Linked DNA regions of Oryzias latipes. The protein of the gene in region 1 interacts with the protein of each later gene in a pairwise test. Links are inferred from orthologs where the notes say so. Each region holds a gene or a part of one and is shown on either strand. Other genes may lie near its edges.

What was found. The genes of interacting proteins can lie anywhere in the genome.
Region 2: the proteins of u2af2 (region 1) and sugp1 interact in binary tests that used the Homo sapiens proteins (3 or more experiments, as listed by UniProt). The link is inferred for Oryzias latipes from reciprocal best matches to the Homo sapiens genes U2AF2 and SUGP1.

Annotation. Positions count from the first base shown.
Region 1 is NC_019874.2:19,813,551-19,817,305, forward strand, and holds the start of u2af2 (splicing factor U2AF 65 kDa subunit), read right to left. Parts: upstream 2,616-3,755; 5' UTR 2,041-2,615; coding exon 1,992-2,040; intron 1,202-1,991; coding exon 1,033-1,201; intron 637-1,032; coding exon 601-636; intron 381-600; coding exon 277-380; intron 1-276. UniProt on the Homo sapiens protein: Plays a role in pre-mRNA splicing and 3'-end processing. By recruiting PRPF19 and the PRP19C/Prp19 complex/NTC/Nineteen complex to the RNA polymerase II C-terminal domain (CTD), and thereby pre-mRNA, may couple transcription to splicing.
Region 2 is NC_019875.2:22,733,360-22,737,114, reverse strand, and holds the start of sugp1 (SURP and G-patch domain-containing protein 1), read right to left. Parts: upstream 2,304-3,755; coding exon 2,276-2,303; intron 1,633-2,275; coding exon of another isoform or gene 1,572-1,632; intron 1,488-1,571; coding exon of another isoform or gene 1,429-1,487; intron 635-1,428; coding exon of another isoform or gene 560-634; exon of another isoform or gene 467-559; intron 1-466. Other genes in the region: E3 ubiquitin-protein ligase RNF126, read left to right, coding at 560-634, 1,429-1,487, 1,572-1,632, 2,299-2,537.

The DNA of each region.
Region 1 (3,755 bases):
GTAACTTCAGAAGCTCCAGACACGTGAGCAAAAGTGCCATTCTCATTGGTCGAGTAGATTTCGACGCGACGCGTCGCGTCGAAAAAAAAACGAACCCGAGGCGTTTTTTTTTTTACGCTTTAACGCGTGCACGTTTTTTCGTGCCCTTTGTTTAGTCACGAGGCGTTAAACGTCGGCGAAAATCGCCGGCGAAATTCGTCCCGGTGTGAACAGGCCTTTAGCATGTTATGTGTACACATTTGTGAATTAAATACACTGGAAACAGATAAGAGTTACCTTGCATGGCTTTGTACTGCATGGGAGTGATATGCTCAAAACCAGGAGGAGGAACATCCCAATACTTCTTGATCTTCTTCTTCTTTTCACGATGGGGAGATCGGCTGTAAGAGGGAAGAAAAAAAAATAAACATTAGGAGAAAATGAACTTTTTTTTAAAGAAGGTTGCATCGATTTCAACATAGTAAAAGTGACAAAAAAGACAGAAAAATGGACAATACCCAAAAACAAATTACTTGAACATGTGTAAATTGTCTTTAAAGTGATAGGAGTGTCAATGTACAGTTTCTGCAACTGCCAGCTTTGTGTTAAGTTTTCTGTTACCTTGCAGTATTTTCTTGAGGGTAGGCGGGTGGCGAGCTGAAATGACAAATTGGAGGAAGAGATTTAGATTTCTTATATGAATCAAACAAACTTTTTGAGTTATGATTCATAAATAAAATAAAAAACACTGCATTTCCAGTCACACTTGAATATCAATGCACTTCAAAACAAACAAGTGAGAATTCTCTTCTAATTTCAAAAGAAGTAGGGAAAAAAAAACGAATAAATCAAATGAAATCAAAAGCTCATCAGAACAAACATACATAACTGGTGCATTTGTGTGAACAATGTAATGATGCATGTAGACTGCAGACATTACAATAAAGTTAATAAAGAGACTTAACGTTGCCATGTTATTGCTGGACAGTTGATAAGAGATTTTACACATAACAGCTTGTTTTTAAACAGGAGGATTGGTGTAGATGTACTGACTTGCGCCGGTGTCTCCGCTCCTTACTGTCCCCACGGCGGTCCCTGCTGCGTCTTTCCCCGCCATCCCTGCTCCTCTTCTTCCTCTCTCTGCTGCGGCTGCGGGATGAAGAACGACGATGGTGCCGGTTTTCTTTGTCCCTTTCTGTGGCAAAAGAGCGGTGCTCAGTAACTATGAAGTATAAAAGTATAAAGTGTTTTTCATTAAAACAAAAATCTTCTTAAAAAACATAACCCCAGAAATATTGTTCATAAAAGCAAATTAAAGCGAGCTGAATTTAGACATGTTCTCGATGTTTAATTTTAATTTTCATAAATGGTCTTACAGGTATGAACACAAAGTGAAAAGATAAATCAAGTAGTAATCAAGTAGAAGGAAAATGTGCATAAATGAGGTTATTTCTCTTAAAAGTACATTTTTATGTTAATCATGCTACAAGACGATGCATCTGCAGATAGGTGGGAAAAAAAGGAAGATAAAAGAGGAGAGTACAGGAAACCAGCTATATTAAAGAAGCAAGAATTTGTATCAGTAGCATAAACACAATATGAAACTGAAAGGACTATTGCAAAAACTGCAGTAGAGAATGTATAAAGATAAACAGTTGAACTTGTAAAAAGGAACTATCGAGCACGAGCGGCTGAATGATAATTCAATGACAGAAAGCACCGCTTAAATATTATTACACGCCACATGAATCGGACATGCCATAATAATACCACGATGGAGTTCAAGATAATACAAAATTGAAAACATTTTAATGTTAATAGCATTATACAACAGTACCGAAAGCCAGATTACAGGAAAACATCGATAAACTTGTAAAGCTGCGTTGTACATTTAGAGGCTATTTGATCATAGGCCAGTTAAACAGACACGTCCGCGACGTGCTAACCATAGAGATAAAAATGACATGTACCTCTTTTGCAATCATTGTTAATTGTGTAACTAGTCCATTTACCTTGATGGTTCTCAGACAGTTGTCTTTCAAATTCGTCGAAATCCGACATCTCTGGATAGAAACCTACTACGCTTTCGAAGACTGCGTTGTTCGGTTGGCGGAGGCTAGCTTAAGCTAGCAAGAAAGTGAGCACTTTGAGATTCAAGCGCTTCAATGATAGCGCTTCGGAAAGTTAACCTCGGTTAGCAAAAACACGGCTCAAAAACAAACCTATCAAACGATAGGTGGTATCACACACATTAGTGACGTGGTATTTGCTCAAATGTAACACATACAAATACGGAAAAAGGAAAAACGTGCTCGCTTAAGTTAGCCCGCTAACGCCAGCTAACTAGCTTGTAGCAAAGTCCAGAAGAAAGGCCTGCTGCTCCACACCGCCGAGGAGGCTCAGCTGCTAGCTAGGCTACGAAATCCGAATAAATGAGACTATTTTCGAAGCCCAAAGCGAATCCAGCTTAGTCACAGGCCCACAATATGTGTTTATGTGACGCAATAATCCAAATCTTTACGCCTTCTGCTGTTTTAAGTCTACAAAAACAGCAAAGATTTTGTTGTGCCCGCTTTTTTGCTCCGACTCCCAGATACCCCGTGACATCGGAAGTTGATGAACGCTGCGTTTCCGGTAGAAGAACGTCGTGTGGTTCTGGCTTGTGTTTGGAGCTGCATGGAGACAATTCTGTGATTGAATTCTGATTAAAACAACAGAACACCTGCATGTGACTTTCTCTGTAATGGTTATTGGGAGAATATTTCTAAATGTATGAACTTAAAAACGACGTGTTTCAGTTAAAAATACATGTTAATATAGTTAAATATCCAAAACTTACTGTAGATTTTAAATGTTATGCTTAAAGCTTTTGTGTTTCAATCAACGGTCATTTACACAATTTAATTAAACAACTACAAACTGGATTTTAGTGATAGATCCTTAAGAAAGATCAACACAAAACTCAGCCCTAAGCACTGCGGATAGATTCAGAAGAATTGTCAGCATCCTGCTGTATACTTTGAATGATTTACGGTTCATCAAGCAATAGCCCATTTTTTACACACAGACAGGCAGGACAGATCATGTTTAGATGAGCTCTATCAGGCCCTGTTATGCAAAATATTAATTTCTTAGAGTTCGTCTTTCTAGTAGGGATGTAACGATTCATGGTGTTTATTCATATCATAATTCATGTTTGCTGATATGATTCATAGTTAATATTGGTTCATTTTGAATGATCTGAGTTGATCCGATTCACTGGCCTAAACTCGATCGAGGACATCTTTAGCCAAAAATTCAACCAGTGATACTTAGAGATAAACACCTGGAGACTGAACGGTGCAGGTGAAGTTTTCCAGATTCCTTCTATTTCTTGCAAGATAATCAAGTGTAAAAACAAACAAACAAGTAAACAAGAATTAATGGAAAATCCATTCACATTTTATTTTCATAAAGTTCATCCCACTAATGTTTTTCCACATCAAAATAATCCAAAGGGAACATTTTTAGAACATTCTGCCACGCTGTATGGTCACATGTCTTTGCATAATTCAAAGTGTTTCGTCACATTGAACTGTAATGATGGATTGATCATTTTTTGCTGCCATCCTGTGTGAGTGTTGTCTGCTGTGATGGCAGTTGGTCGTTTTGGCGTTATAGTAAATTAAACGTATTCACTCCTTTACCAACAACATTTCATAAATGTCAAATAATAAGCTGTCAGTGCTTTGCAATTCCTATTTTGTTGTCTTTTTACATACAGGTGACGATGTGTC
Region 2 (3,755 bases), on another chromosome or scaffold:
ATGGTACTCTGATTGATTAAAGCTTCTGTGAAAAGATACACTTTTTGTTTTTCGCTTTTACTTTAGCAGGACTTCAGTAGTGAGAAAAGTAAAACTAAATCTAAAGTAATTTAGAATTTGTTCCTATATTATTTTAGGGGTTAATGAACGTGACTAACTGCAAATCAGTGCAGTTTTTTTTTTTACAGCAATGGTCGCTGAGATAGCTGGATTGATATTTTTCATTTTTTACGGTGGACATAGTGGTGTTGCAGATTAGGCTCAAACTTTGCACTTGCACTTGCACTTTATGAATTTAATTTAATTTAATTTAATTTAATTTAATTTAATTTAATTTAATTTAATTTAATTTAATTTAATTTAATTTAATTTAATTAAGTTAAGTTAATTTAAGTTGATTTACGTTATTTTATTTTGAAAGTCAATGTTAAAGCGGAAGCTTTCCTCTCTCAGTCACATGATGTTTGATGTCTTCACTTTTCCTCTCAGCGAACTCAAACTGGGGTTTTCTTGTCCTTTACCGCTCTCCGTCCACACCGTTACTCTTCAACTCCTGAAAATGGCTGAAGCCCCTCCACGGCCCTGCCGGTTTTTCTGTCACCGGTGCTCAGCAGAGGTTACACCCCGTTTACCAGTAAGAACCTCACAGGCACAACAGTCAGTAGGAAAGCGGAGAAAATGCGTGTTATCTAAATATGAGTGTGTTAGATCAACAGACGTCCACGCGCTGCTGCTGTTAGGCTATACCTGTTTAGCTAACCTGTCAGTCAATGTCAGTAACGAAGTTGGCAGGCAGAGACTCCAGTTATCCCTCTGTATTTACATACATACACTTTCAAAATGGGAACATTTGGGACAAAACCAAGGCCAGCTTTCACAGATCAACACTGTTAACTGTCTCGTGGCGTTTTCTGACCACAAGCTAACAAACAGAAAATTCCATTTGTTTTTAATGTCATAAATGTATTCAGGTTTCTCCAGAAATATTTGAACTGGTTTGTTTTCTGTGACCTTGAGTCTGTGTTTGAAACTGGTTTGGGTCAGATGGCGCTTTGACTCTTTGACAGCATGCTGTCATGCTTTTCATGGGAAACTTCTTGATTGTTACAGTAACCTTTGCTTTATTCAGTCGACTGTTTAGCTGTGTGATTGTGTTTTACTAAGGAAGTACTGGCAAAGTGTTTTTATGTATTCTAGGCAAATATCTAAAAAACAAAGGAGTTTATTTTTCTAAAGGTCTAGTTCTGTTTTTTTTTTTAAATAGTGTAGGTATTTTAACAGACTAACTAAATTCAGATTTCTAAGGATTTTAACTGTCAGATTAGCATAATACATTAAAAAAAATGTAATTATCTTGGACCTATAGACATCCTACAGATAAATATTTGTGGTATTATGACATAATATGATATTGTATTTTTTTTATAGGACTACACATGTCCAAGATGTAATTCTGGTTTTATCGAGGAGCTACCAGAAGAAATAAGGTGTGAATTGTTGCTATTATTCAAATATGTGTGGTGCACATTTATTTGTTTTGTATTTTGTGTTACATTTTAAACTTTCTTCAGCTCTGAAAATAGGTCAGCATCCACTTCCTCTGCCAGTGACCAGAATCGTCAGTCCTTTGAGGTAAGAGGGACTTAAAGACCCACTCCAATAAAAGTTTCTTGGTGTTTTTAAGCATCTTCTTGTAGCATTTTTCTCATGATTGAGGACACATATAACGGAAATTAAGATTACAACTGAATTTCTGACTATTTCTTTGTTCAAATCAGGAGCAGACGAAAAATATTACATTTAAAAAAGCTTGTAGTTGTTGTGTACAAATGATAATCGGCTGGCCACAAGTTTCTTGCTCTGGTCCAGACCGATGCATCCATTTTTAGACACCTAGATCCATGTATGTATTTGTTTTCCGCATCTGGATCCAAACCGTAAGGCTGGATCGCCATTTTTGTTGCACCGGTAGTGTTAGGTTGGGGTTTAAAGGGGCTGTAAGCTTGTAAAAAAGGGATGATGGGGAATGAGGGCGTGCTAACTCCATGCCGACAGTCCTGCCCACAACTCAGAGTCAACTTTCTAATGAACTACTGCCGCTCTGTAGAAACTATGTCCTAGAAAACAACACAGGCTTTTTGATTTTGCCTTAAAACGGCACAATCATAATTTAAAAACCACTAGGAATGCCTTTAAAAAAGATGAAAAGATAATCGTTGTGGGGGCTTTAGTAAGTGTTTTTTTTCTATGGAAAAAGTCTAAGTCGTTTTTGGACCTTGACTCTGTGGTTCTTTGCAGGACATGGATCACCAGCACTTCTTCACATTTCCCTCTGGATACGGTCCGTTCGCCCTCGGCATCTTCGATGATAACTTTGACGTCCGAGCGCGGTTACCCTCAGAGGATAACAGAGAGGCAGAAAACAGGAGAGAAAGGGAAATGGCATCGCGGCAACGATACAGTGCACGGCAACCACGTGGTCGCTACTTTCCTCGGCGACAGGGTACGCGCCATGAGGGAGTGCCCACATTAGAGGGGTGAGACATTTGTCGTGGCGGTGCGTGTGTGGTACAAGTACAATCCAAAAATAAGAATACTGTAAAAAGTTACATTTTTGTCAGTCATTTAAAAAAGGGAAACATTTATTTAGTACACATTTGTTTCACGAAAATTTAACATTTCAAGTCTTTAATTCTTATACTTTTAAGGTTAAGGTTTACAGGTAGTAAAAACCCTTAATTTCTATGTCAGAAAATTAGATTATTCTGAAAAAAGGCAATTTTCTATACACACTGTGCCACACCTTAATTCTACTCACCTACAAAGGTTTCCTAAACCTCTAAATGATGAAACCTGAAAAAGAGTCGGGAGCTTGTGAGTTAAAAGTGGATTAATTGAGTATTTGGCAGAAATAATCATTCATGGTATTAAAGGCAGCAGAGGAAGAAAAATATTGTTACTCCTATTTAAGCAAGAAACAAATTAGAGACTTTAAAAACAAAAATGACGCTGCAGAAAATCATTTAGTTTCTATCATAAGTGTGTATTACACAGGTGTAATGCTTCATTTTCAATTCACTTCATTTGTAAAGGACCAGTTCATAATTCAGGCAGTTTCAAACTGTTATACAAAAAACAAAAAATATTTTAATTGAGCCTGATAATTCCAAAAAGAAAGCCCAGACTGTTTTAATTGTATATCGATGGCCTATTTTAGTGACCGACAGATTTGGTGTCATCTCTGTACCGAGCACACACAAAGTGACTGTGAGGAAGAAAACCTCTTCTTAATGGGAGATTAGAAAGAAACAGAACCAGATTGAGTCAGGAGGACCACCTGCTGTGGCCGGCTGGGGTCTAGATTACAAGGAAAAGACGCACTAAAGCAAAAAATACTGAAAACAACGCGACGAACAACCAGCAATGAGGACACATCTGTTATTAGACACAAAAACATGTTAGTAGCATGTCAGTTATGCAGCAAAAAGGCAGTGAAAGAACAGAATGGGAAAAATAAATAATTAAAAAAGCATCGGAACATCTGTTGTAACACAAAATCTGTTATCATAAGTTCAAAGTTTGTACAAAACCACATTTTCTTCATTTTTTTAGTTGTGTAAACACATCCTTCCATCACTTCCATGACATATTTTGTACTTAGCTGCCTTTAGATCTAGATCCTACATCTGCTGTCACAGCTTCATTAAACTGAGCTGCTCTGTATTTACTGACACAATAAAGCACATTTTAAATCA